7 linked regions of the Ovis aries genome follow. The protein of the gene in region 1 binds, or shares a complex with, the protein of each later gene. Links are inferred from orthologs where the notes say so. Each region holds a gene or a part of one and is shown in the gene's direction. Other genes may lie near its edges. The genes, in order: POLR2E, POLR1C, RUVBL2, DNAAF10, POLR1B, ERCC2 and UBTF.

Evidence for each region.
Region 2: POLR2E (region 1) and POLR1C share a complex: the UniProt entries of both Homo sapiens proteins name them as parts of the pol I pre-initiation complex. The link is inferred for Ovis aries from reciprocal best matches to the Homo sapiens genes POLR2E and POLR1C.
Region 3: POLR2E (region 1) and RUVBL2 share a complex: the UniProt entries of both Homo sapiens proteins name them as parts of the PAQosome complex. The link is inferred for Ovis aries from reciprocal best matches to the Homo sapiens genes POLR2E and RUVBL2.
Region 4: POLR2E (region 1) and DNAAF10 share a complex: the UniProt entries of both Homo sapiens proteins name them as parts of the PAQosome complex. The link is inferred for Ovis aries from reciprocal best matches to the Homo sapiens genes POLR2E and DNAAF10.
Region 5: POLR2E (region 1) and POLR1B share a complex: the UniProt entries of both Homo sapiens proteins name them as parts of the pol I pre-initiation complex. The link is inferred for Ovis aries from reciprocal best matches to the Homo sapiens genes POLR2E and POLR1B.
Region 6: POLR2E (region 1) and ERCC2 share a complex: the UniProt entries of both Homo sapiens proteins name them as parts of the TBP-based Pol II pre-initiation complex. The link is inferred for Ovis aries from reciprocal best matches to the Homo sapiens genes POLR2E and ERCC2.
Region 7: POLR2E (region 1) and UBTF share a complex: the UniProt entries of both Homo sapiens proteins name them as parts of the pol I pre-initiation complex. The link is inferred for Ovis aries from reciprocal best matches to the Homo sapiens genes POLR2E and UBTF.

The regions. Positions count from the first base shown.
Region 1 is NC_056058.1:41,257,689-41,261,965, reverse strand, and holds the start of POLR2E (DNA-directed RNA polymerases I, II, and III subunit RPABC1), read left to right. Parts: upstream 1-1,461; 5' UTR 1,462-1,526; coding exon 1,527-1,583; intron 1,584-3,025; coding exon 3,026-3,200; intron 3,201-4,009; coding exon 4,010-4,125; intron 4,126-4,277. UniProt on the Homo sapiens protein: DNA-dependent RNA polymerase catalyzes the transcription of DNA into RNA using the four ribonucleoside triphosphates as substrates.
Region 2 is NC_056073.1:17,058,086-17,062,296, forward strand, and holds the start of POLR1C (DNA-directed RNA polymerases I and III subunit RPAC1), read left to right. Parts: upstream 1-1,402; 5' UTR 1,403-1,423; coding exon 1,424-1,492; intron 1,493-1,611; coding exon 1,612-1,683; intron 1,684-4,211. Other genes in the region: protein YIPF3, read right to left, coding at 1-51, 234-431, 1,033-1,113. UniProt on the Homo sapiens protein: DNA-dependent RNA polymerase catalyzes the transcription of DNA into RNA using the four ribonucleoside triphosphates as substrates.
Region 3 is NC_056067.1:55,308,926-55,312,509, forward strand, and holds part of RUVBL2 (ruvB-like 2), read left to right. Parts: intron 1-1,366; coding exon 1,367-1,473; intron 1,474-1,557; coding exon 1,558-1,651; intron 1,652-2,006; coding exon 2,007-2,130; intron 2,131-2,436; coding exon 2,437-2,531; intron 2,532-2,617; coding exon 2,618-2,736; intron 2,737-3,584. UniProt on the Homo sapiens protein: Possesses single-stranded DNA-stimulated ATPase and ATP-dependent DNA helicase (5' to 3') activity; hexamerization is thought to be critical for ATP hydrolysis and adjacent subunits in the ring-like structure contribute to the ATPase activity.
Region 4 is NC_056056.1:40,164,654-40,168,770, forward strand, and holds the start of DNAAF10 (dynein axonemal assembly factor 10), read left to right. Parts: upstream 1-1,263; 5' UTR 1,264-1,362; coding exon 1,363-1,545; intron 1,546-4,117. Other genes in the region: RNA-binding protein PNO1, read right to left, coding at 261-410, 633-839. UniProt on the Homo sapiens protein: Key assembly factor specifically required for the stability of axonemal dynein heavy chains in cytoplasm.
Region 5 is NC_056056.1:60,441,207-60,445,499, reverse strand, and holds the start of POLR1B (DNA-directed RNA polymerase I subunit RPA2), read left to right. Parts: upstream 1-1,443; 5' UTR 1,444-1,477; coding exon 1,478-1,654; intron 1,655-3,340; coding exon 3,341-3,508; intron 3,509-3,942; coding exon 3,943-4,089; intron 4,090-4,293. UniProt on the Homo sapiens protein: Catalytic core component of RNA polymerase I (Pol I), a DNA-dependent RNA polymerase which synthesizes ribosomal RNA precursors using the four ribonucleoside triphosphates as substrates.
Region 6 is NC_056067.1:52,774,549-52,778,132, reverse strand, and holds part of ERCC2 (general transcription and DNA repair factor IIH helicase subunit XPD), read left to right. Parts: coding exon 1-105; intron 106-2,068; coding exon 2,069-2,187; intron 2,188-3,584. UniProt on the Homo sapiens protein: ATP-dependent 5'-3' DNA helicase. Component of the general transcription and DNA repair factor IIH (TFIIH) core complex, not absolutely essential for minimal transcription in vitro.
Region 7 is NC_056064.1:43,766,624-43,770,207, reverse strand, and holds part of UBTF (nucleolar transcription factor 1), read left to right. Parts: coding exon 1-92; intron 93-2,482; coding exon 2,483-2,547; intron 2,548-2,827; coding exon 2,828-2,948; intron 2,949-3,304; coding exon 3,305-3,415; intron 3,416-3,584. UniProt on the Homo sapiens protein: Recognizes the ribosomal RNA gene promoter and activates transcription mediated by RNA polymerase I (Pol I) through cooperative interactions with the transcription factor SL1/TIF-IB complex.

The DNA.
Region 1 (4,277 bases):
ACAGAGAGGTTAAGTAATGTGCCCAGGTCGCACAGCCAGCACTGGAGCCCAGGTAACCACATCTCTTTGCCTTCTGCCGTTTCCTCCCCTCCTCCCAGCTTCAGGGCTCAGGCCTGACTTCTGATGCGCTCTGTGACCTCATCAGCCTCTCAACTCCAGTCTGCACTGTGCGCCCACAACATCCACATCAGCCTCCACTCCAAGCTCATCCTGAGTTCCAGGCTTGTGCCCTACTGTCCCCTGGATGCTCCCCGTAGGGTCCCCCAGGAGTCCCAAGCTCACCATATCCAAGATCTGCTCCAGATCTGCCTTCTATGCCTCCCCACCGAGGTCTGTTCTTCCTCCTCTGCTTGTCTCTGTGTCTTTCCACATCCTGTCCACCTACAGATCCTATGAGCGCTGCCTTCTGGACACCCTAGACCTGCCCACAGCTCATCCTTCACTTGAGGCCTCATCTATCTCTGGCCGGGACGGTCCTCCCTAGCCCACTCCTTGGTCTCCCTGTTTCTGCCCTGTGGAGATGCTGAAAATGGCTGCAAGCACAAACTTCTCAAACCCAACCAGCAAGGGCTCCCAAGATCTGCCCCACCTGACCCTCTGACCCACAGGCCTCCTTGCTGCCAACATGCTAGGCCTCAGGGCCTTTGCACATGCTGTACCCTCTACCTGATACACTTTCCTCGACATCCCCAGGGCTTCTACCCTCTCACCCTTTGGATTTTTGTTGGAACCTTCCATGACCACATTTGAGACTTCTCTATTTTTTCTTCCACAGCACTGTCTCCTTCTAACACGCTGTATCATTTACTTATGTCCGCTGTTTCTGTCCTGTCTCTCCCTGGCATGTAAGGATGCTTGGTCTGTTTTGTTCCCCGTCTCTTTGGCTCCTCATTAAATACTGAATCATTGAATTAATATATTACTGAATGAGAAGTTACTGACACAAGTAAGCTGGGCTGAGCAGGCCTGAACAAACCTCCTGAACGAACTCGGAGGGGAAGGGCCGATGCAGAGGTTGTGCACTCTTGGGGTATCCAGGCAGGGGCTGGGCTGGGGCTCAGCTGCATTTTGTAAGCACCAGGAACTATACCAAGCTCCTCCCAAGTACGAGCATCTCTTTAGATCCTCTAAAATGGGGGACACTTTATTCTTTTCATTATACAAAACGGAAAACCGAGGCTCCGCTCACACTTCCTCAATCTCTCCAGATTCTAAACACTGTCCAGACTGACGTTGAGCAAAAACCACCACTCCCGAGAAGCCGTGCCGTCAAAGCATCGCGAGAACTTCCGAGGGGCGGGTGGGCGGTGCTGTTTGAAAGCTGCTCGCGCAACCAACCGCCGCTTTAGGAAGGCTAGGGCTGCCCTTGGCAGTGCCGCTCCCGAAGGTCGCTGTATTCAGGCGTTCGCCTGCGACAGCCCTGCACGGGTAGACGACGTGTTGGGGGCCTGATCAGGACTCGGAGTAGGCACTGTGGGCCCTGGTCGTGCTGGTCGCAGGCGCAGTGTGTGAGAGCGGCGGGAATCATGGACGATGAGGAGGAGACATACCGGCTGTGGAAGATCCGCAAGACCATCATGCAGGTGAGCCGCGCGGAGGCAGCCCTCCTTGGAGAACGCGGTGAGGGCGTGCCTGGCTGCGCCAGACGAACTGGGCACGTGGCGGCCGAGGCGTGAACGGCGGGTGCTAGGGCCCGTTGATGAGGACGAGCCTCTTCACCCGCGGCGGCGCGGCTGGAGCGGAGGAGTCGAGCCCCAGAGCCCCCAGAGAAGGGGGTCAGGATCTCGCTCGAGCTGGAGAGAGGGAAGGCGGGAGACGCTGGGCCGCCTTGTATTTGTGTTTCTGGAGGGTTGTGGTGTTACAGCCCCTGATCCTTGAAGTTCTTAATCAGTAAGAATTGATAACAGGCCAGACTAGAAGGTCAGGCAAGGCTTTGTTGGAGCTTATGCTGCAGCAGGAGGGAGCGAAAACAAGCAACAGGCGCCCTTCTTAGGTCGTCTTGAATGGGATAATGGGATGAGGGTGGGCGCGGGTCCAGGGGTCATGCCAGAGTGATGATTCGGGTGGTCTGCCTACCCTCTGGGTGGTGCTGTGTGCAGGGATCAGGCCTGGCACCCAGCTTTTGCTCCGGCACCTCAGAAGTGGAGGTTTTGACTTTCTGTTGTTGTCTATCATTTGCTCGAGCTGGGCAATTGCACGGTTATTTTTAGTCCCGCATGGTTTCTGGGTATTCTGTTGCTGGAGAAGATGTTTGTCCAAGTGCAGGCGCTGCCGCAAAGGGTCCCAGCTCCCAGCCTGTCTTATCAGCACCACCGTAAGTGCATAACGCAGAATCCCGGGTTCTTGACGGTGGAAGGAACCCTGGTGGGCTGGTCTGACTGCTGTCTGGTGGTTACTTAGATGCCTTGCCCACCAACTCAGTCTCAGTGTCACAGCAGTCACACCAGCTTTTTCTGTGTACCACATGCTTTAAGCCACCATGTGAGAGGGGTCCAGTGTGATGCCACAAAGACTTGGGGCCTTGATCAAGAGCACCCAGCCTCCTGGGAATTGTGCTGGAGCTAAGGCTGGGCTATGACCCAGCCTCTTCAACACTTGGCAGAGCTACTCAAGACAGGGCGGGAGCAGCTGCGCTTCTACCTGATGGTGTCGGGGCTGCGGGAGAGGAGACCCAGGTCTCTGAATGGAGACTCGGCGGGGGGTGGGGGATGTGGGCAGGGCTGGGTGGCAGCTCCAACCTTCCTTTGTCTGGGTCCTCACCTAGTCTGTGTGCTCACAGAGCCCTAGTTTCTGAGCAGGACCTTGAACTGCTGGGCCTCAGGCTTTTGCCTGGTTTCACAGCCAACACCCGCCCAGCCTGCTGTACCTGTCAGACCTACGCCCTGGGGCCTGACTCTGGACTCAACATCTCCGCTTGCATCCCAGGCCTTTCCCCAGTCTCCTCTGCGGTGGGTGAGGCCACCGGAGCTCTGGCTGCTGTCCTATCTCCACTGTGCGATCGATCACCTGCCCTTTCTCTCTGCAGCTGTGCCATGACCGTGGTTACCTGGTGACCCAGGACGAGCTGGACCAGACTCTGGAGGAGTTCAAGGCCCAGTTTGGGGACAAGCCCAGTGAAGGGCGGCCAAGGCGCACGGACCTCACGGTGCTGGTGGCCCACAACGACGACCCTACTGACCAGATGTTCGTCTTCTTCCCAGGTGAGGGCTGCTCAGGGCCAGCTCACAGCAGCCACCTGCTGTGCGCCCCAGAGTCATGCACCCACCCTTATCCTTCTGTCCCCTGCCCTCCTTGCTCTGGGAACCCCTTCTCCAGCTTCCCTCTTCTCGATCACCCATCCATTCTCTCTGGGCCTAAAGATCACATTTCCAAATACAGTTTCATTCTGAGATTCCAGGGCCAGGACCCCAACAGAGGGACTTTGAGGGCAGAGTGGGTTAGTGGAATGGGAAGTGAGAGCAGCTGGAAGGGGCGGACATACTGCACACAGACCCTGGGGCTGCCCTAGGTGCTGACCTGCTGGGCTCCTAGGGTCCGGCTGTTCTGTGGCAGGCCCTGCATGCTGCCAAGACCATGAGGACCCCCAGTGCTACGGCATGGAGATGGGTGGTCTGTGTCTGGCAGGACCATACTCTCTGGGTCAGCTCACCTCAGCTTACCTCTGAGAACCCCAGCCCTTGTCTCATGAACTCCAAGACTAAACCAAATCCAGGGCTTCCCAAACCTCAGAGCCACTGAGCCCTGGCCAAGCCCAGACTCCCAGACCCCACTTCCAGAAGAGGTCCCTGAGGTCCAGGGCACCCAGGGCACTTGTCAGCTCCCATGTGACCTGGAGGCAGCCAGCTCCCCCATTCTGGGAACCAGCTGCCCAGTTCTTGCTTTGCACACGGGGAGGCTGAGGCCCAAGAGTGGGAGTGGCACCGCAGTGCCTTGGCAGAGCCAGGCTAGAACCTGGGTGCCCGATGGGAAGGGGCCCTGCAGCACTGATCAGCCTGTGCTCTGCCTGCAGAGGAGCCCAAGGTGGGCATCAAGACCATCAAGGTGTACTGTCAGCGCATGCAGGAGGAGAACATCACACGTGCCCTCATTGTGGTGCAGCAGGGCATGACGCCCTCTGCCAAGCAGGTAAGCCTGCCCCGCCAGGGTGGGATGGAGCCTGGCCAGCACCTCTGTCCCCAGGCCCGGGGACCGGCTGCCACACTAGCTCCCAGCCACCCTGGGAGCATCCTGACAGGTACTTACCTTTCTTGATGTGAGATGAAGGCCTTATTACTGCT
Region 2 (4,211 bases), on another chromosome or scaffold:
GGCATACAAGCTGAAGGCTCTGGAGGCTTGTCTCTTCCCTGCCTGCCACATCTATAGCAAGGAAGATGGGTGGGGTGAAAGGGTGCTGTCAAACTCTTGGCTCTATGTTACTTATTTTTTATCTGATTTCAAAATGGTGTGAACTGGACAACCTGGGGTGGACTTCACCAACTCCAGAACCAGAGGTCTCCTCGGTATACTTTTCCACCTGTCAGGGAGCCAACTGTGCTTACCTGATCAGCCACCTGCCGGCTCAGCTGTCCCTTAAAGCCCTTCATCCCCAGGAACTCCCCATCCTCTTCTTCAGCAGCAGCTGCATCAGCATCCACTTCTTCCTCACGCAGGCGCTGATGCAGCTCACCCATGTCCTCGAAGCTGGAGCCTGAGGTATCATCCATGTTCTCCATGTCAATCACTGCTGAGCCCCCACCCTGTGAAGACAACAGACCCTAGAGTGCAGGACCTTTCTGCTTCGTCCAGTTGAGTCCTTCTCCGTTCACCACAAGGTTTGGGGCTAGGGGACTTGAAATCGCCACAGATGACGCCACTCTCTTCTCCTCATTTGGTCTCAGAACCCCTGCTTGTTTGGTGCTCTGTTCTAGTCTGGGGAACCTAGTCCCTGTCTTCCATACACGGCTTTTTCCTACCTTCCCTACCAAGGCCCCAAAGGGCTGCAAAGTGCCCATTTCCTTCATCTCTCCCAACCCCAAAACAAGGCTATGCGCACCAAGTGTGGTTTTGGCTAGTGAATCCCATCCACCCCCAAGCCCACTCCCGCCATGCCTGTCTCCGACTGACTTTCCTAAACTTGTGGAAAGCAAGAGCAATTGGGCCCAGATACCTAAGGCCCCTGGCTGGAGTACCAGTCTGGAGCTTTAAGACCAGCACTAGCCCCACTGCCTTTCTTGTGCACGAAGACTCAAAAGAAGATAAAAAGTGTTGCAAATGGACCAGACTTCCAGGCTCTGAGGGAGAGTTCAGGGCGGCTGCCGGCCCAGGGGCTGCGGGCAGCCGGAGCCGTGGGGCCATTACCTGGATGTTTTCTTCGAACCCTCCCCATTCCGGGCCGGTCCCGTTTCGGGCGCCGCCAGCCGGCGCCGCCGGAGTTGCCATGTCCCTCGAGGGCTCCCGTCGCTGAAGCCCGTGCTTGTCCCGCGCGCGGAGGAGGAGTGGGAGAGATGCGGGCCTGAGAAAGGGACAGGTCTAGGGACAAGAAAGAAAGGTACTATGGGTCGGAATGCAAAAAAAGGAGAAACCCGGATGTTTGGCTCAAACCAACTTCCGGTAGCTGGGGACGTGGACGGAGGCAAGGCACAGTCTCGCGATATTTAAGATTCTAGGAGGTGCGTTGCTACAGAAACGGAGGCGGACGACTAGTGCGCACGCATCAGTTAGGTACTCTGGTCACGTGGAGGAGTTGAAGATGGCGGCGGCCCAGGCTGTGGAGGAAATGAGGACCCGCGTGGTTCTAGGGGAGTTTGGGGTTCGCAATGTAAGTCTTGTGGCCTTCAGCTCGGGAGCAGAGTGAATCAGGGATGAGTTGGCGTCAGAGTGGGGACGGGCTTGGCCTCGCTGCCCCTTCGCAGACATTCTCGTCTCTCTTTGCTCTAGGTTCATACCACTGACTTTCCCGGTAACTATTGCGGCTACGATGATGCCTGGGACCAGGACCGCTTTGAGAAGGTAGGTGGAGCTGGAACTGTGGGATCGGACTTTGTGATATGAGCAACCTGTGCCTTAGAAGCTGTCCTTGTAATTTCCAAGGCGCAGCAGAAAAGGGCAGCTTGCAGCAAGGGGCAGAGGGCGGTAGCTGGAAGCGGGGTTGTAGCTTCCCCCACCGGTAGTCCTAACTACGACCACAGGAGCCAGCAGTTAGGGCTAGAGTCCCTAGTCCTTGTCTGCCTAGTCAAGAACGAATTCAGGCGAGGAGGCAGAAGGTACAGAGTAAAGTACGAAGTTGATTGAAAAGAGAAGTACATGTAGAAAGGCACACGGGCAGGACCCTCCCATGGGATGCACACTCACCTCTTAGCCAAGATGGATCTGGAAGTGAAGGCTTCTGGGAAGAGCAAGACTCGTTATGGCCTGAATTATCCTCTGACTTTTGACCCCAAGTAGCCTTTCTGCACTTGTGATGTATCTTCCTTATCCTAAAAAGGGGGAAGCGGAGATCCCTTAATCCTTACTCAGACGAGGGATTTCGCCTTGCTTTGTTCTTGCTATAATTATTTCTTCAAGATATTTACTAGAGACAAAGACTGTTGACTCTGTTTCTGTTCTCTCTTCGTTTCTGGAGGGCAAACAGGAGGCTGATAGGAAATTCCTCAGCTGGAGCCCGTCTGTCTCCTGCCATACTTGTGATGTGGGACATGCTAAAGTAAAGGTCCAGGTTCTTATTCTACCTGTCCAAAGTGCAAAAAAATGTCACACAGAGAAACTGAGGTGTAGAGAGAACAAAGAAGCAATTTATTAAGGAGAAGGGAAAGCAGGCACTCACAGAAGAATACGAGTGTCCACACGAGTGAGGAGACCACCTGAGGGTCTTTCTAGCCCCACTCCATTATTTTAATTCCTTGAATGGGTGCAGGTTTCTTTGTTGTTGTTCTTCAGTTGCTCAGTTGGGTCTGACTTTGTGACCCCAGGGAATGCAGCACGACAAGCTTCCCTGTCGTTCAGTATCTCCTGGAGTTTGCTCAAACTCATGTCCATTGAGTCAGTGATACCATCCAACCATCTCATCCTCTGTCACCCACTTCTCCTCTTGCCCTCAATCTTTCCCAGCATCACTCGTTTGCAGTGAGTCAGCTCTTGGCATTGCGTGGCCAAAGTATTGGAGCTTCAGCTTCAGCCTCAGTCCTTCAATGAATGTTCAGGGTTTATTTCTTCTAGGATTGACTGGTTTGATCATTTGATCTTCCTTGTTGTCTAAGGAACTCTCAAGAGTCTTCTCCAGCACCACAATTCGAAGGCATCAATTCTTTGGCACTCAGCTTTCTCTCACATCCATGCACGGCTACTGGAAAAACCATAGCTGTGACTATATGGACCTTTGTCAGCAAAGTGATGTCTCTGCTTTTTAATGTGCTGTCTAGCTTTGTCATAGCTTTTCTTCCAAGGAGCAAGTGTCTTTCAAGGCTGCAGTCACCGTCTGCAGTAACTTTGGAGCCCAAGAAAATGAAGTCTGTCACTGTTACCATTTTTTCCCCGTTTGTCTGTCATGAAATGATGGTTCAGATGCCATGATCTTAGTTTTTTGAATGTTGAGTTTTAAGCCAGCTTTTTCACTCTTCTCTTTCACTTTCATCAAGAGGCTGTTTAGTTCCTCTTCGGTTTCTGCCGTTAGGATCGTGTCACCTACGTATCTGAGGTTATTGATATTTCTCCCAGCAATCTTGACTGCAGCTTGTGCTTCATCTAGTACTCTGCATATAAGTTAAATAAGCAGGGTGACAATACACAGCCTTGACGTCCTCCTTCCCCAATTTTGAACCAGTCCATTGTTCCATCTCCAGTTCTGACTGTTGCTTCTGGATCTGCATACAGGTTTTTCAGGAGGCAGGCAATGTGGTCTGGTATTCTCATCTCTTTAATTTTCCACAGTTGTGATCCACACAGTCAAAGGCTTTAGCTTACTCATTGAAGCAGAAGTAAATGTTTTTCTGGACTTCTCTTGCTTTTTCTATGATCCAGAGGATGTTGGCAATTTGGCCTCTAGTTCCTCTGCCTTTTCTAAATCCAGCTTGAACATCTGGAAGTTCTTGGTTCACATACCATTGAAGCCTAGCTTGGGGAATTTTGAGCATAATTTTGCTGGCATGTGAAACGACTGCAGTTGTGCAGTAGTTTGGACATTGTTTGGCATTGCCTTTCTTTGGGATTGGAATGAAAACTGACCTTTTCCAGTCTTGTGGTCACTGCTTAGTTTTTCCAAATTTGCTGGCATATTGAGTGCTGTACTTTAACAGCATCATCTTTTAGGCTTTTAAATAGTTCAACTGGAATTCCATCACCTCCACTAGCCTTGCTCATAGTAATGCTTCTTAAGGCCCACTTGACTTATTTGATTAGGGACGGTCTATTTATTATTGGGAGGATGGGTGGTTATAACAGCTTCTCTTGTGCATCTGTCTCCTAAAGCCACCACACTAAGAGCTTTCCCCCCTTTAATTTTCCCTTGGAGTGAAACACCAGGTTGTATAGAACCTTTATTG
Region 3 (3,584 bases), on another chromosome or scaffold:
TGCAGGAACACCCTCCTCTTTTTTCATTAGCTTCTCATTTTCAGTGGAAATAGACTTAAAGTGAATAACTGCGGTCAACTGCACTTTTAGCACTTGTAACAGCCTCCTAAATTAGTCTTATCTATTGGCAATTAAATTTTGAATTTTAAAAACACGGTAGAAAAAAAAACAATGTGGAAGAGTCTAAGTATAGGGAAAGCTATTTCCCAGATAGTTCTTTAAATTAGAGTTTAAAGAGGTTACAGAAGAAATCCATGGATATACCCTCATCAAAATGAACAACCGGGGACTTCCTGGTGGTCCAGTGGCTGGGACTCTATGCTTCCAATGCAGGGGGCCTGGGTTCGATCCCTGGCCAGGGAATTAAGATCCGCATGCCCCGGCCAAGACCCAGCACAGCCAAAAAGAAAAACTGAAAATGAACAACCAAAACTCCCTTTAACTCCCTCCCCAAACCCACTTGCCACCTCTCCCTACAAAGGGAGCATCTCACTATGGAAACAACTCCAGGAAACAGGTGAGACAGGATATGCTGGGAAAAGCCCAGACTTGGTGACTGTTTACCTTGGGGGGTGTTGTTGGTGGGGGGGTGGTGACATTTTGTTTTCTTAGCTTATCTGGTGGGGAGGGTGTATGACATTTTGTTTTCTTAGCTTATCTCTTGGGGATGGGGTGTGGCATTTTTGTTGTCTTAGCTGTGTTTAGCTGTGTTCTTCTGGGTATGTGGTTAACAAAAGACCACCTTTTATTTGGGTATGAAAAACAAATTTTAGAGTGGGACCCGCCCCCTTGACCCTTCGGTGGGACCTCAGGTGCCTGTTGTTTTTACAGATTTTCTCTTTTAGGCTTTTGTTTCTCTTTGGGGGGCAGGGGCAGTGCTCACGGCGTGTGGGATCTCAGCTCCTCAACCAGGATCAAACCCATGCCTCCTGCACGGGAAGTGTGGCGTTTTAACCACTGGACCACCAGGGAAGTCCCTGTTTGTTCCTTTACTGGTTTTAATTTATTTATTTAGGCTAAGCCAGGTCTTAGTTGTGGCATATGGGATCTAGTTCTCTGACCAGGGATCGAACCTGGGCCCCCTGCATTAAGAGTACAGAGTCTTATCCGCTGGATTTCCAGGCAAGTCCCCTTTACTGGATTTTTAAAGCTTTATTAAGGCGCAACTGACCTCCAATAAGCCATGCCCCAGAAAGTTTTCAGGATTTTAGGTTTTGACATACACATAGCCACAAAGCTGTCACCGAGGCTGTGACAGTGCATATCTTCATCAAGCCCCCAGCACTGCCCCATGTCATGCTGGTTCTGAAGCTGTGCTGGGGAGACATCAGGGCCCCCTCTAAACCCCTTACCTGTCACCCCTCAGGGCTCCAAAGTCGGCAAGCTGACCCTCAAGACCACAGAGATGGAGACCATATATGACCTGGGCACCAAGATGATCGAGTCCCTGACCAAGGACAAGGTCCAGGCCGGGTGAGCAGTGGGGGCCACACCGGTGGCCAGGGTAGGGGAGCTCCGGCCCTTCCCGTCCTCACCCCTGCCCGCCTTCCCCTGCAGGGACGTGATCACCATCGACAAGGCCACAGGCAAGATCTCCAAGCTGGGACGCTCTTTCACACGGGCTCGCGACTATGACGCCATGGGCTCCCAGGTGGGCAGGGCTCCTGGGTCCCCTCGCTCAGGCACCAGCACGTTTCTCTCTCCCCCCTGCCCCTGGCGTCTGCAGGGTCCAGACCCTCCTGTCATCCCAGCCCTGTGTCCCTGGCCCTCCTGGTGCCTCCCCATACCCTCCAGAACAGCCAGGGGTTTCTGGGGTCCTCCAGGAACCCCTGTATCCTTCAGTGCTCTGGGCTGCCCTAGTCTTTACCCCTCAGGCCTGGGGTTTCTGCATCACCCCCATCTGGATTCCTAGCTCCATTCCAGGGAGCCCGTCTCCCCTCGACAGCCCCCGGGGCCCCCGCTTCATGCTCTTTTCTGCCCTTGTCTACCCCGCCCCGGCCCCACAGACCAAGTTCGTGCAGTGCCCAGACGGGGAGCTGCAGAAGCGCAAGGAGGTGGTGCACACGGTGTCTCTCCACGAGATCGACGTCATCAACTCCCGCACCCAGGGCTTCCTGGCCCTCTTCTCAGGTGAGGCCCACCTGGGCCACCCGCGCCGGGAGGCTCCCTCCCCGCCCCGCCCCGCCCCGCCGTGCACCAGGACGGCCTGGCGTTTCCCCTCTCCGCCATCCCTCTTGCCGTCTTCCGCTCTTCACCTGTGGTTTGGCTCGTCTGTTGCCTCTCTGGGACGTCTCTGAGTCCCCGGCCACTGTCACGTCGCCACTCCAGCTCGCTCTCTGTGTCTCCGGCGTCCTGTCTCTCTCTGCCTTCGTCCACTGCCCTCCCCGACCCCCGGCCCTGGATCCCTTCTCCTCTCTGACACCCTGCCTCCCACAGGCGACACAGGGGAGATCAAGTCCGAAGTCCGAGAGCAGATCAACGCCAAGGTGGCCGAGTGGCGGGAGGAGGGCAAGGCAGAGATTATCCCTGGCGTGAGTACCCGGGCCAGGCCAGGTTGGGGGGCGCGGGAGAAGAGAGGCGTGGGACGTGGGCTTGATACCTGCCCAACGGCCCCCAGGTGCTGTTCATCGACGAGGTCCACATGCTGGACATTGAGAGCTTCTCCTTCCTCAACCGAGCCCTGGAGAGTGACATGGCGCCTGTCCTCATCATGGCTACCAACCGCGGCATCACCCGGTAAGCCCCGCTGGCCCCTGAGGAGGCCCCTGGGAGAACAGGGAGCAAGTCGCTTATGCCTCACTGCTGAATAGAAATAAAGGGAACGCAGCTTAGTATTTCTCTTGATCTAAGGATACAGTGGAAAAACCCCTGAGGCAGGAAGAGTAGCAGATACCACAAAACTTGGGAACCTCTGCCATAGGGTTTTGCTGTGCCCGGTTCTGCCTGCTGGCTCTTCCTCACCTCATCTTCAAAAGTCCACAGGAAGTGAGAAGGAAGCAGGGGACGAAGAGCTCATGCGAGCCGGGGGCCTGAAGGCTGCACCCAGCACAGCCGCTGCCCTGGGCTGCTCAGGGGCATGACTACGGCCTTTTGCCAGCTGAAGCACAGGGAAGAAAGGGGCGACTACCAGGGATAATGGGCAGGTTGTCCCTGGCTTTTGGCTCAGCCTTTCCTCAAAAGGAGCTCAGGAGCTAGATACCGTCTCAGCCCCATTCCGTTCCATTCCTCTTGCCGCCAAACACGTACTGCAGGGCCTGTGGGATCTTAGTTCACCAACCAGGGATCTAACCCACGCCCCCTGCGTTGGAAGCTTGGAGTCTTAATCACTGGACCACCAGGGAAGCCCCTTATCTTACTAATTTTATTTTTTGGCCATGCCGCATGGCTTGCCACATCTTAGTTTCCCAACCAGGACTCAAACCTGTGCCCCCTGCAGTGGAAGCATGGAGTCCTAACCACTGGCCCACCTAGGAATTCCCTCGGCCCTGTTTTCAAGATGGGGGATAGCAAGGCCCGGTGACTTGCCCTGGGTCACATGTGGAAGGCAGCAGGCTGGAGTTTGGTGTCCAAATGAGCGTGTTTGT
Region 4 (4,117 bases), on another chromosome or scaffold:
TCTGTACTACAGCAAGTACTTCGGCTGCTCATTTACATACTTCTATTGACGATAACCTCTTTATTAACCCTTTAATCAATCAACACAGAACACTTTAAAATGTGCTGAAACGCAGCTGGTAGTTTAGTTTAGTTTCAGGTCAAACTGGAAGAAACTCATTCAACAAGGTAAGTCCCACTAAGAATTCCTAGAAAGTCTGTTCTTTCTTCCTAGGACAGAAAAACCTCGGCATATTTTAAAGTGGTTAATAGTCTCCTTACTCTGATTTCAACATTCCTCGATTTCAAGTTAAAGCGTATCTGAAGTCCCAAATGCTCCACAATAGGAGTAAATATCTTCAGCCAGTTCTCTTTTAGTGGCGTGTATCTGTTAGCTGGGACTGGAATTTTCCTGGTTTCTTCTTTCCCATTCTACGACAAAAGAAAACACAACTCAGCAGTTGTTTAAAGGAATGAGGGTGAAGTTGTAACGACAACTGATCCTCAAAAAGCCTCCTTTAATTGGACAGATTAAACACCAGGAGAGTCGCCGCTCTGAGCTTCACTCCAGAAAAAGCGTCATCACCCAGAGGCCACCGGGCCGACCCGTCTCTGGCCCCAGCCCCGTTCCTGTTCCTCGGTCCCAGCCAGTACCAGGAACCCGTCCCCGGAGAGGGGCGGGAAGACGGGCCTCTTAGCGGGTCGAGCTTCCTCGGTGTCCATGCAGGTCGCGTCGCCTCCCTCCTCCGGCGTGGACGGCTGCTCAGCCTGCCGTTTCTTCGCCCGCCGGCCACCTTTGCGGGTGACCTGACTGAAGCCGTCCTCGGCCAACGGGCTCTGTGCCTCCATCACGCTTTCCATTCTCCAGAGCCTCCAGCCCCAACCTCAGCTTCCAGCTTCAACACGTGCGAGGCTGTACCGCGCAGGCGCGCCTCACAGGCCCCCAACCTCCGCCAACCAGCCCCAGGGCTCCGCCCTCTTTCCTAAGACGTCCCATGCGGGGGACCTAAAGCGGGAGTTTCTGCGTGTTTGTTGGTGAGGAGGGAGGGCTGTCCTAAAATATGCCTGATTCTTAGGTTCGCCCTCTGCCCACACCTCTCGCAGTCAGCGCGCTTTATAACCCATAATCTGTATCTGTACGAAAGGCACTAGGTAAAGCCATAACAAGTTTGTGTTGTTGGGGAAGGAAACTCTTGTGGGCCTGCACTAGAGCATCCGGCATTATCTGAGAAACCTAAAACTGCTTGTTAGGTTTCTAGGGGCGCCTACGGCAGGCGGGAGGGACAAACTATCCGTAACGTTTGGACTCTGGTTTCCAGGTTTGTTTCGTCAGGGTTTGTTGGCTGTGTCCCGCTTGGCGGAGGCGAAATCTCTCGGCTGGACCATGTCGGCCTTTGAGAAGCCTCAGATCATCTCGCATATCCAGAAGAGCCTCAATTACACGGTGTTTGACTGTAAGTGGATGCCCTGCAGCGCCAAATTTGTGACCATGGGCAACTTCGCACGGGGCACCGGCGTCATTCAGCTGTACGAGATCCAGCAAGGGGACCTAAAGCTGCTGCGGGAGGTGGGTGCCGGGTCGAGACCTCCCAGTTCCAAAATCTGGGACTGCTCCTGGAGGGGAGTGCGGATCTTGGGGGCGGGAGTTCTGCGTTCCTTTTTGCCAAAGCCTTTGTCCAGCGTCCCCCCAAAGCGGTGCTGAAACTGCGCGGGAGTAGCGAATCTGACCGCAGACTGAGGAATAATTCCGACGTAAAACGCTTTCGTTCGAGACCTGAATTCTCATCGGGCTAATTCATTCCTGCTTTGCTGGTCCCTTCCTCCAGCCATCCCCACCCTTCTCCCAGTCCAGTGCGAGGTCCCTGGAGGTGACGTTATAACTTCACGTTTAAATTCGAGGCGTTTCTGGGCAGTGCGCATTTGTTTGTGGAGAGTCTTTTTTTCTTTTTATTTTTTGAATGTTATTTTTAATATAAATTTATTTATTTTAATTAGAGGCTAATTACTTTACAATATTGTATTGGTTTTGCCATACATCAACATGAATCCGCCACGGGTGTACACGTGTTCCCCATCCTGAACCCCCCTCCCACCTCCCTCCCCGTACCATCCCTCTCGGTCATCCCAGTGCACTAGCCCCAAGCATCCTGTATCATGCATGGAACCTGGACTGGCGATTCGTTTCATATATGATATTATACATCTTTCAATGCCATTCTCCCAAATCATCCCACCCTCTCCCTCTCCCACAGAGTCCAAAAGACTGTTCTATACATCTGTGTCTCTTGCTGTCTCGCATACAGAGTTATCGTTACCATCTTTCTAAATTCCATATATATGCGTTAGTATACTGTATTGATGTTTTTCTTTCCGGCTTACTTCACTGTGTATAATAGGCTCCAGTTTCATCCACCTTATCAGAACTGATTCAAATGTATTCTTTTTAATGGCTGAGTAATACTCCATTGTGTATATGTACCACAGCTTTCTTATCCATTCATCTGCTGATGGACATCTAGGTTGCTTCCATGTCCTGGCTATTATAAACAGTGCTGCGATGAACATTGGGGTACACGTGTCTCTTTCAATTCTGGTTTCCTCGGTGTGTATGCCCAGCAGTGGGATTGCTGGGTCATAAGGCAGTTCTTGGAGAAGGCAGTGGCACCCCGCTCCAGTACTCTTGCCTGGAAAATCCCATGGGTGGAGAAGCCTGGAAGGCTGCAGTCCATGGGGTCGAGAAGTGTGGGACACAACTGAGCGACTTCCCTTTCACTTTTCACTTTCATGCATTGGAGAAGGAAATGGCAACCCACTCCAGTGTTCTTGCCTGGAGAATCCCAGGGATGGGGGAGCCTGGTGGGCTTCCATCTATGGGGTCACACAGAGTTGGACACGACTGAAGCGACTTAGCAGTACCAGAAGGCAGTTCTATTTCCAGTTTTTTAAGGAATCTCCACACTGTTCTCCATAGTGGCTGTACTAGTTTGCATTCCCACCAACAGTGTAAGAGGGTTCCCTTTTCTCCACACCTTCTCCAGCATTTATTGCTTATAGACTTTTGGATCGCAGCCATTCTGACTGGCGTGAAATGGTACCTCATTGTGGTTTTGATTTACATTTCTCTGATAATGAGTGATGTTGAGCATCTTTTCATGTGTTTGTTAGCCATCTGTATGTCTTCTTTGGAAAAATGTCTGTTTAGTTCTTTGGCCCATTTTTTGATTGGGTCGTTTATTTTTCTGGAATTGAGCTGCAAGAGTTGCTTGTATATTTTTGAGATTAGTTCTTTATCTGTGGAGAGTCTTTTAATGGGTCCAAGATAGTAAAATACTTGGTCATACAAGCAGAGCCAAAGCAGGCACTAGGATGCCTACTATGTAATTGGAGGAGACAATCCAAAACAATTATTCTTTCAACAAGTGTCAGTTGATTGCCTGGTATTCTCCAGCTAGTAAATGACAGACAATGTCCCTGATTACTATGGAGTTTTTTTTTCCTAGTGGGAGAGAGAATCAATTAAATAATCAAACTAACAATACATAAAACACAAACTGAGATGAATTCTCTAATGTAAAGGCACATGGTTCTATGAGAGTAAAAACAAAACCAGAAAACCAGATTTGCATTGAGTAAAAGCTAAGTAGGTCAAATTAGGAGTTGAGATTTCCAAGAGGAAACAGCTCAGCAATGAGGGAGAGAGATTATCTCCTTTTGGAACAAAACAGCAGAGAGGAGGCCTTGCAAATGCTGTAGATCATTTAAAAGATTTGTGCCTGTTTTTGTAAGAAAAATGGGACTTCAGTGAAGGGCTTTATGCAGGGTGTGGCAAGGTTAGGTTTACAAGTTTTGTAAAGATTACACTAATGGAAGAATTGGAGAATAAGGATATTAACTAACATTTTTATATCTGTTTACTAGTTTTTAAATGCCTTTAGAGCACTCCAGGACTCTTGCCTGGAAAATCCCATGGACGGAGGAGCCTGGTAGGCTGCAGTCCATGGGGTCGCTGGGAGTCGGACACGACTGAGTGACTTCATTTTCACTTTTCACTTTCATGCATTGGAGAAGGAAATGGCAACCCACTCCAGTGTTCTTGCCTGGAGAATCCCAGGGACAGGGGAATCTGTTGGGCTGCCGTC
Region 5 (4,293 bases), on another chromosome or scaffold:
AAGATCCGTGTTCTAAAGGGGACAAGAAAGAGATCAGCGAGCTGTCTTCTAACAGCTTTTCCAGCAAGTTTGTATGCTGATGGAAATGGTTGCACCTGTCATAATCCCCTCATTCTCCTACCTTCCTGGCCAAGAGAGAGGGAATAGAGGAAGAGAGTTTTTCCTAAAAGTAGCAGTCGCTGTAAAGGAAGAGAAGGCAGAATTTAGGTCACAGCTGCACACATCTTGGGAGATTTGATGGTGTAAACATAAGAAAGAAACAGAGGATAATTTTTAAAATTGATACAGGAATGAGAATTACCACCGGACCTAGGTAAAGGTGGAATTGCGTCAGGTGGACATTTCTCTTAAGTGGTGAATGAGTTCATTATCTTAATCGTGATGATAGCTTCATCACGGAAGCCCAGGAGGCACATACCTAGGTCAAAACTTACCAGCGCGTACCCTTTAAGCAGGTGTAGTTTATCGTGTGTCAGTTATACCGCGTACAGGATAGAGCTGTTAAACGCACATACACAGGAAAGATTACGCTGAAAGACAGCTGCAGACAGTCTCCGATAAATCGTTTTCTGGGGAGATGAATGGAGTATAGGATTTAGACTCAAAGTATCCCTGGAGGTCCAGTGGTTAAGAGTCTGCATTTCCACTGCAGGGGGCACAGGTTTGATCCCTGGTCAGGGAACTAAGATCCCCGGATCCCTGGGTTGGGAAAGATCCCCTGGAGAAGGGAATGGCAACCCACTCCAGTGTTCTTGCCCGGGCAATCCCATGGACAGAGGAGCCTAGAGGGCTAGAGTCCATGGGGTCGCAAGGAGCTGAACATGACTTAGCGACTAAATAACTAAAGGATATTAGGGCTAGGACGCCCGCCTGCACACACGTTGCCGGCTCCCGCTCAAGACTCGAGTCTAGACGACGCGGGGAGGGGCTAATGGGGGTAGGACCACCGCTAGACGGTCCCAGTGATGAACCTTCCCGACTTAACCCCTTACCCTGGTCTGGGTAGAGGGCAGTCGGTTTGGTGCCTAACTGCTTTTTCCTTGAAGCCAGAACTCTGGTTGGGTGTCACCCCGAGAGTCTGCATCAATATTGGATCGCAAAGTCGTCAAGGAAAGAGAAGGAAATCTTTGAACATCACTCTCCGCCGGTCCTAAACCGCAAATGAAAGATGGAGATTTCACAGGCGGAATTGGCCGTGGAGCGGACTTCCCCTTTGTGAGTGGAGAACGGAGATCTACAGGGGTGGACACCGGAAGAGAGGAGACGGAGCCGATCCGCCGCTCTCCGACTCTGCAGGATTTTGAACGGGCCCACTTGCTCCAAGTATTAGTTTCTAGTCGACCCTGTAAAATCTGAGGACCCAGGGCCGGCAGACCAAGAGGAACTACATTTCCCAGCAGGTCATGGGTGCTGGGCGCCGGGTGGTGTTTCCGGCGCGTGTGGAGCAGTCCCTGGCGCCCGGTGTGCTGGCAAACTCATGGATCCCGGCGGCCGGTGGCGAAACCTGCCCAGTGGGCCCAGCCTAAAGCACTTGACCGACTCGTCTTACGGGATCCCGCGGGAGCAGCAAAAGCCAGCGTTGCAGGAGCTGACGCGGGCGCATGTCGAGTCTTTCAACTACGCTGTGAGCGAGGGGCTCAGCCACGCGGTGCAGGTGAGCTTGGCCTCCTCCCAGCCGTTCCTCAATTTTGGGTTCTCCGGCGCCTCTAGCCCCTGCTACAGGCGGGTGAAGCAAAGGGGCCTGGCGGCACGGCGGATGGGGTGCGGGGTGTGTGAGGCGCTGGAGAAGGAAGAGGGAGAGGTGAGTGAGGCTTGGGGCCTGGAAGAGGGGAGGAGGGATCCAGGAGACGGGGGAGTTGGGCACAGGCCCAGCGCCGGGCTATGTCGAGGAAGGTGCCAGTGAGTCATTAAAGCGAGATTCAGTGGGAAACCTTTGGTCCTCCTTAAGAGATTGGTAACGTCATTAGGTAACATTTACTCCATACTAAAGTGATTGGTCTAGAGGGTGATGGTAGCAGGCTTCAGGTTAAAATAATGGGGTAGGGTCTCATTTAGTAAGCATCCCGGTGTCTCCGGGCACTGGGCTCTGACAGTGAGGGAGAGGCAGACCTATGTAAGAGAGAGTTCTTGCTTGCTATCTTGTTTTGGGTGGAGGTGGTGGAGCTGTGATGGAGAAGGAAATGGCAACCCACGCCAGTATTCTTGCCTCGAGAATCCCAGGGACGGGATGGAGTGGGCTGCAGTCTATCGGGTCGCACAGAGTCGGCACGGCTGAAGCGACTTAGCAGCAGCAGCAGGTGGAGCTGTGAAGGCAGTCAGTGCCAGTACTCTGGAGCAATTCTCTTGCCAAGGGGCTATGTGCGGGGGCACAGAGGAGGGAGGTGCAGCTAACCCAGGGCAGGACCTCATGAATCCAAGAGAAGAGTACGTTCCCTCCAGGGGGAGTGCAGGAGCAGAGCTCAGGGGTCTCTACCCTCTGCTTTTGTTGGGTAGGGCTTGTTCTGCAGGAGGGGTGGAGAGAATGTTGAAAGCTGAGCCAGTTTCTGATGCTTGAACTCTCTTCTGCAAATAATGGGGGAACCATCGAGGCTTCTTCGAAGATTAATACTGCTTCACCCGTTTGCAAAAGATGAGATATTTTTGTCTGATGGGAAATAATTTCTATCGTGCCTGGACTCATTGTATCATGTCTATGAGAAAAATTGTAAATCTGCTTATAAGTTAATTGACCCTGGGATTTATTAAAACAATGAAAAAGAGTCCAGCGTTGAGATGATCAAGGAATCTTTCCGCTAAAATGGGTTCTCTGGTAGCTCAGACGGTAAAGAATCTGCAATGCAGGAGACCCAGGTTCATCCCCTGGGTCAGGAAGATCCCCTGGAGAAGGGAATGGCAACCCACTCCAGTATTCTTGAGGAAGAGCTTGACGGGACTACAATCCATGGGGTCGCAAAGAGTTGGACACTGCTTAGCAACTGAACAACAACATATGCACAAAGAGAGTACAAGGTAAAATGTGAAGCAGAAATAAATTAGGAGTTTGGGATTAACATATACACACTACTGAAGTCAGGTACTTGGTTCAGAGGACAGCTTTGTCCGTAAACAGCTGTATCCCTAGAACCTATTATAGAATCCAACAGTGAGTAGACCAGAAAGTCTTCTTAATGCTGTTTTAGGTACTTAGGACAGGAGTAGCCCAGATGTAGTGCTGGCTCTTTTTAGATGTGTTGCATTAGGATGATAGCCATCAGTGCTTGTAGAACACCTGAAATTTGAAAGAGTCTGAGAGAAAGTGCCTTGCAAGTGCAAGCGGTTGACTGTCTCAACTGTATTTCAGGCCGTCCCTCCCTTTGAATTTGCTTTCAAAGATGAGCGGATCTCTCTCACCATTGTGGATGCCGTCATCAGTCCTCCAGCCGTTCCCAAAGGGAGCATCTGCAAAGAGCTCAACGTTTATCCAGCAGAGTGCCGAGGCCGGAGGAGCACCTACCGGGGAAAGCTGACAGTGAGTATGAGTGACAGCATGCGACTCACACACTGTACATTTTTTTTGAATAAGCCCAGTGCCTAATACGGTTTATACCAGAATTTGGCTTTCTCAGTGCTGTCGTCCGAGAGATCCCATCTTTTAAACCTAAAGCATAAAATCATTTAGTTTATGGTCCTCTGCCTTAATCTTTTAAAATACTCATCTATTCTTTTTTTATATACTTTTTTTTTTCAGTATTCTATTGTGGTTTATCACAGGATATTGAATATAGTTCCCTGTGTAGGACCTTGTTGTTTATCCATTCTAACTGTAATAGCTTCCATCTACCAACCCCAAAGTCCCAGTCCATCCCTCTGTCTCCCTCCCCTAGAATACTCATTTATTCCTACAGATCTAGATAGTCCCCCACTTTTTTTTTTAACTTTTTTCTCTCTCTCATTTTCACTTAGGCCGATATCAGCTGGTCAGTGAATGGAATCTCAAAAGGAGTCATTAAGCAGTTTCTGGGCTACGTTCCCATCATGGTGAAATCCAAGCTTTGCAACTTATACAGCCTTCCTCCAAAAGCCCTCATCGAGCACCATGAGGAAGCAGAGGTACCCACAGGGGAGCCGTGCCCTGAAAGACCTGGTGACAGTAGAAAGGGCCAGAACTGGGAGTGTGAGAACAGAAAGCTTGTCAGGGAGTTCAGTTTTCTTACTCTGCTTTAATTTCTAGATAGGTAACAGGGGCCTTGATGTCTTGTCTATGCTCTGTGTAGGCTTCATAACAAGTCTCAGATGAGACAGTGTATGAAAAAG
Region 6 (3,584 bases), on another chromosome or scaffold:
GTACGTCAAGTGGCGCCTGCGGGTGCAGCATGTGGTCCAGGAGAGCCCGCCCGCCTTCCTCAGCGGCCTGGCCCAGCGCGTCTGCATCCAGCGCAAGCCCCTCAGGTGCGGCTGCCGCGGGGGCTGGGCGTGGGAGGGGTCCCGGTGGGGATGTGGGGTGGGCGCCCTTGTCAGTAGCCATGATCAGAGAACTGACCTCGGGAAGTGTGATGGAAGACTGTGTGCAGAGGGAGGGGGGCGGCGGCGAGACCCCAGGGCCCTGGCCAGTGCTCAGGGGTGTTCTCACTCCAGGCCATGGAGGGAGTGGCCCTGGAGAGGGGCTCCTGATGAGGGCCAGCGGGATGGGAGCTGGGAGAAAATGCTGTGGGCCCCTCACTCCCTGTTTCCTCCTGCCAGGGCCTCTCATTGCCCCCCAGCCCCTGGGCAGGAGCCAGCCCCTCAGGTGCAGTCTGGGGGCAGGGCCAGTGATGAGGGGCTCTGGAGTGGGGGTGGAGCTTCCTCTGCTTTTCCTTTGTGCTGTGGATCAGTCTTTGGTCTTCTCTGAACCTCAGTTTTCCTCCTCTGTGCAAGGGGTAGGGGGTCAGCCCCTTTACCCCCAGGTTCCTGTGGTGGTTTAATGACAAAGCAGCGACCCCAGGAACCCACCCCGTCTAGAGCACTGATGACAAGCCGAGTGCTTCGCAGTCCACGGCCCGGGGACACAACACGGAGTTCCCGCCTTGTGCTGCCGATGAGGACGCTGTGTCCCGTGGAGGGGAAGCCTCCCGGCACTGTGTGTGGTTGTGACCAGAAGCCCTGCCGGTGGGGCTCTGAGGCTCCTGGCTGCTCTGCCTCTGAGGAGGTGGGAGCCCTTGGTGCGGCTTCACCCTTCTTCCCTCACGAGAGACTTGTGAGGACAGAGGGGATCTGAGTCACAGGGTCCGTGTTCCGAGGGCCTGCTCTGTGCTGGGGACACAGCAATGATGGAGACGGCCCTGGCCCTGCCCTCCTGGGCTCACAGTCCAGTTGGGGAGACAGACCTTTCCCAGACAGGGTCAGTCCAGGGCTCAGGGTGGGGGGGTGTCCTGGAGGCTGCAGGAACACAGGGGCCGTCTGATCGAGCCTGGGGGATAGGCAGACTGGAAGAAAGGACATACAGGAGACAGGTTTTATTCACTTTATTTCTTATTTTTCTTGGGCACACTGCTCGGCATGTGGGATCTAGTTCCCTGACCAGGGCTTGAACCTGGGCCCCCTGCATTGGGTGTCTTAACCACTGGCCCACCAGGGAAGTCCCAGGAGGCAGGTTTTAAACTTGACTGTCTGCCTGGCGCCAAAGCTGGGTGCTCCCGCTCCACACACGGCCTGTCCCTGCCTCAAGCTGGGTGGCCTTGCTTGTGTGCCGTTGGTAGAGCCTGTGTCAGGCTCAGTGAGGGAGGAGCCGTCACCGAGGCCATCATCTGGGAGCGTGCGGAACTCTAACGCTGTGTCACTGAGGACTGTGGCCGAGACTGACCTTGTGGAGATCCGGGCGGGAGTGTGTGACCCTGTGGCCGTGTGGCGTTCACGTGCTGACCGTGGGATGCTGGGGGTGGTCGTGGGTCGCCCCTTTTGATTGAGAACCTGTGTATGAGAGCGTTACCTCATGTGACAGGACTGTGTGGCTCTGGAGTGTTAGTCGCTCAGTCATGTCTGACTCTGTGCTACCCCCTGGACTGTAGCCCACCAGGCTCCTCTGTCCATGGGATTCTCCAGGCGAGAATACTGGAGTGGATTGCCATGCCCTTCTCCAGGGAGTCTTCCTGACCCAGGAAGGGTCTCCTGCCTTACAGGCAGATTCCTCACAGTCTAAGAATTTGGGCGGTGACTCTGGGTTGTGAGATTATTGCTCTGTGTGCCCTCCTGTGGCTGTGCCCCCCGTGATGGGCAGTGGTACAAGGTGGGGACACAGAGTGACCCAGACCCTGACCTCCCGGAGCTGCCAGGTGGCTGGGGAGACGGCATGTGAGCACGTGCTCTGACGGTGACGAGGGGGCTATCCAGCCTGCAGCCACCACCTCCCTCACCTGCCCGCCCCCCACCCCACCAGGTTCTGCGCCGAGCGCCTCCGCTCCCTCTTGCACACCTTGGAGATCTCGGACCTCACTGACTTCTCCCCACTTACCCTCCTCGCTAACTTCGCCACGCTTGTCAGTACCTACGCGAAGGGTAAGCTCGCCTCTTCCTGCCTCTGCCGGCCCCCAGCAGCTGGAATTGGGATCCGGCAGGGCCTAGAGGGTAGCCCCTGGGAGAGTACCCAGAGGGTAGCCCAGCCTCTGAAGTTTGGACTTTATTTATTTGTTTTAAAATTTATTAGCCACGCCGGTCTTAGTTGTGACGTGCAGGATCTTTAGTTGCGGCATGTGGGATCTAGTTCCCTGACCAGGGATCAAACCCAGGCCCCCGGTGTTGGGAGTGCAGGGTTTTAGCCCCTGGACCACCAGGGAAGTGCTCTGGGCCTTATTTTGAGGGCAGTGGGGAGCCACAAACAGCCCTTGAGTGAGTGAGCCTTGTGCTCAGGAGGGTATTTTTAAAGGCTCTCTCTGGCTGCAGATGGAGGTGGGTGGGGGTGGGCAGTGGCGTGAGGAGAGGAAGGAGAGAATCTGCGGGGTCCGCTCACCCTGGGGGGCATGTGGGGGGGGGTGGTCATTCTCCCAGCGGCACTGGGGAGCCATGGCAGGTTCTGAACAGGGAGAGGTAGGGGCAGATTGCGCTTTAGAGGATTCTTCTGGCAGAGGCTGGGCCAGGACGGGGTGGGGTGCTAGAGAGAGTCGTGGGAGGTCAAGAGGCCGCGACTTGGTGCCTGGTCGTGCGGGGCCTTGGGGGGAGGACGCTCAGATTTCCAGCCTGCTGGGAGGGTACAGGGGAGCATTCTGCCCCCAACTCATCAGCTTTAAGCTGCCAAGGGCTCAGTCTCATCCCCGGGGATTACTCCTCTATCCAGCAAACTAGGTCAGCCTGTCTGACGGCCCGCGGGCGGGCCTGGCCTTGGCAGGAAGATAGCCCGTCCCCACCCCAGCGCCGATGGGCAGCAAGTGTCACTGGAATCTTCTTTCTGCCTCTGTCCCTCTGTCCATCCCATCCTCCTCCTTGGTCTGTCCGTCCTCCTCTCTTCCCCACTTCTCCATCTACCGACACCTCACATTCTTGTACCTGGAACAGCTTTCCCCATCTTCCCAACTGTCTTCCCTGTCACCCCTCAGTTCTTGGCTCAGGAGAGACGTCTCCTCCTCCTCCAGGAAGCCCCTCTGGCTCCGAGGCTGGGCCAGGCCCTCTCCTTTAGGCTCCCCTGTCCCAGCCTTCCCACTCAGAGTGGTCACTCTGGAGACAGCTCTGTGTCCCTATCCTTGGACTGTGAGTCCTGAGAGGGCGAGGCCAGGGTTGTCTCGGTCACTGCTGTGTTCCCAGTCCTGGGCTTGGCACAGAGGACATGATGATATTTTTAAAAACATCTTTGCGAAGTGAAATTGATTATGCGGATGCGTTCATTCATTTATTTGCTCAATAAATGGGCCAGGCCCAGCCCTGGGGAGATGGCAGGAACCATGAACGACCTCATTCCTGAC
Region 7 (3,584 bases), on another chromosome or scaffold:
CCAAGTATGCTAAACTCCACCCGGAGATGAGTAACCTGGACCTGACCAAGATTCTGTCCAAGAAATACAAGGAACTGCCGGAGAAGAAGAAGGTGGGGGGCGGGGGGCTAAGGTGCAGAGGGAAGAGGTGGGGAGAAGCTGGTATGGTGTAGGTTATCTGGCTCAGGGGGTAGGGGGGCAGCAAGGGTTTAGACCGAGGGACCTGGTGTCAGGGGCGTGGGTGGGTCAGCAGAGTAGAGGAGGGCCTTGGGGAGCGCACCTGATCATCGCCTCCTGGGCCCACACACCCTCAGGTGTTGGCACTGCTACAGATGTAACCACGACCAAGACAGACACTATAACACACGTCCTCTTTCACACACATGTCCTCACTGTTAGGCTTGCACATTCACGTCTGACGTTTCCCCACATGGTCTCACTTGATGCTCATAGAGGTAACTCCAGGAGACTGAGTGGTCTGAATTTTGCGGTCAGAGGAACTGGGGTGCAGGAGGGCATCGTGTCCCAGGACCATGGTTTAGTGCCTGGGCTCTCTGCCTAGCCCTCTTCTCTAGGCAGGTAACGGGTGCGTCCCCAGGTTACATGGACTTCCTCCCCCTTACACATATTGTCCTTTGTGGCCCCGTGCTGTCCCAGATTGTCAAGCCCATTAACCTTGGGTAGAGGCTGCCCCAGCCTCCCAGGCAGGGGTGGACATGGTCAACACAGTGAGGTTGTGTGGTCCCTGGGAGAAACAGGCAGCACAGCATCGGAGGAGCCTGCAGGTAGGACAACAGTGAGAGGCGGTGGGCAGAAAGAGACGCACAGAGGAGATACTGCCTGGTGAGATGGAGCCAGGGAGAGATGCTAGCGAGGGGCAGCAGAAGAGACAAGAAGGCACACTTGCTGGAGAGGAGACAGTGTAGGCAGCTGGCTCTCGGGAGGGCACCAGCCCTGGGAGCAGCCCTTGTCCCAGTTTGCACACCCTGGCTTCGGGCTCACATGGCCTGGTCTTGTACCCAAAAAAAGGAGCTCGCTTGACTGGGTCCATCCAGCTGTCTGCAGCTGCTGCCTGAACCAAGCTGGAGTACGAATTGCTGGAGCTATTCTTGACCCCTCTGATGGGGCTGTTGCAGAGCTGACTGTATACACACTGCCCAGATGTTCCCATGGGGTGAGAGGGAGAGGCAGAGGGTCTCAGGACCAGGGCGGGACAGAGGAAACTCCGAGGTACAGTGGACAGAGTGCTGGCCTAGGGGACACACTGAGCCTGTTCCCCTGAACTGCCACTGCATCACCGTACATGTGCCCTTTGGTAAGTCATTTCCATCTTCTGGGCCTGGTCTTGATCTGAGGCGTGGAGGTTGAGCCTGATCTGGGTGGTGCCTTCTGGCTCTGAAAGCTGCTGTTTCTGTGAGAGGAGAGCTGAGACTGGGGCGAAGGAGGCAGGGCTCTGCTCTCGGTTTTTTTGTGGAAACCTCAGAGGGAAGCAGAACGGCCTTGCTTCTCGCACCTGATGAGAGGCAGAGGTTGGGCTCAAGTAGCATGTGTCCCTGGCCTCCTCCAGCGCTATTCTGGTTGTGAATCTGGGAAGAAGAGGGAGAAAGGAAAGAGGGACGTTGAACTGGGGCCAGGAGGGGAGGTAGACGAAGAAGGGAAAGAGACAGGCTGGAAAAGAAGTCCAAGAGGGAGGGGTGCAGGGAGGCAGGAAGGATGCAGGGATAGAGATGGGATGGTGGGAAGGGGGGACCAGGGTGAGAGAAGGAAGGGGCTGGGGGAGGGATGGCGCAGGGAGCCAAGAACCTGGAAGAAGGGATCGGAGGCAGGGAAAGTGGTCATGACTGAGGGTTGTGGCGGGGATGGTGTCAGGATCGCCAAGGACAACCAGGGACCCAAAGATAGAGGATTGGAGGTGGGGGGAAATCCAGCTTCAGAAGACAAGAATTCACTCTGGGATGCAGTCAGTTAAGTCTCTCTCCTCAGTGCCTTAGAAGTGGGACTCAGCCTGCCCCCAGCCCTGTGGGCCACCTGAGAGGGCACACTAGTATTAGCTGCCACAGACAGAGGAGGAGCGAGCGACAGGCAAGGCCTATGCCCTCCCTGACTCCCTCCCTGGGGGTTTCCTTGGTGTTGGGGAAAGGCAGAGGGGGACTATCTCGGGGAATCCCAGTGCTGTCCCTGCTTAGTGAATGACTGGGTAATGCCATGTGGCCACCCCACCTCCACCCCCATCCTGGGACTCTCCCTTTCTTAAAGTGAGGGGATGGGATGTGTTCTGGGAGACCCCTGTAGGTCCTAGTGTCAGCTACAGAGTCCCCCCCCCCCCACCCGCCACCAACCCACCAGAAGGCAGGCCACCATCTTCCCTTCCCCCACCCCCCTACTCAGGACATTCTCCATACACATCACTGACAGGGAGGCAAAATAGGTAGCAAGGAGGACTTGGTGGGGTTTGTGGCTCAGCTCTTGGGTCATGGATGACCCCATCGCCTCCTCCCCCCAGATGAAATATATTCAGGACTTCCAGAGGGAGAAACAGGAGTTTGAGCGAAACCTCGCCCGATTCAGGTAAGGCAGTGGAGCCCAGAGGAGGCCACAGGGTGCTGGGTGTGGCAGGAGAGGGGATTAGAGCCTGGCGCTCAACACCCATGAGGCATGGAAGATGGATGGGTCACTTGTTGACCGTAGTGGTTCACATTCAGGGGCAGAGACTGGCAGCTAACCACTGGTCCACTAGGCCCCAGCTGATGGGCTGAGGAGCCTTAGCGAGTGGGGCAGCTAGCCAGGGTCTGCCCTGGCAGGACCCCCATCCCCAACCACTGACTGTCGCTCCCCGCGCCCTGGCTAGGGAGGATCACCCAGACCTAATCCAGAATGCCAAGAAGTCGGACATCCCCGAGAAGCCCAAAACCCCCCAGCAGCTGTGGTACACCCACGAGAAGAAGGTGTATCTCAAAGTGCGGCCAGATGTGAGTGTCCGGCCAAGGGGTGGCGGGGAGGGCGCACGGTGGTGGCAAGGGGGGAGCCGCGGCAGGTCGGCCGGGCATGGTGCAGGGGAGCAGGAGAGGAGGCCCCTCCCCAGGGGTGGGCTGCATGGACAGGGCCTGGGCCAGCTGGCGTGTGCGTGCGTGCGTGTGCGTGTGTGAGCCTGTCCCCTCGCACCCAGGCGGGACCCTCCGCCTCTCTGCCTTCCCCTCCTGGCCCGTGGGGGACACTCTTGTGACCTCCTGTGGCCTGAGGGGGCGGGGGCCTCTGTGTCCCCCTCCCCTTCCCCTTCCCCCTCCCCCTGGCTGCCTGTGTGTGTCTGACGGCTTTTGGTTTGCAGGCCACTACGAAGGAGGTGAAGGACTCCCTGGGGAAGCAGTGGTCTCAGCTCTCGGACAAAAAGAGGCTGAAATGGATTCATAAGGCCCTGGAGCAGCGGAAGGAGTACGAGGTTAGGCTTCCGCTGCGCTCCTCCCCGTCCGGCTCTTCACGAGCCTCTGCCCTCTGACTCTGCAGCCTCCGCGTTCTGCGGGAGGCAGTCACTGCCCATCCCGTCACTGAGGGAGGGGCCTTCTGGGCCCCTCACCTCTGCCCCTACCTTCCCTGCCCCCCCTGCCCCC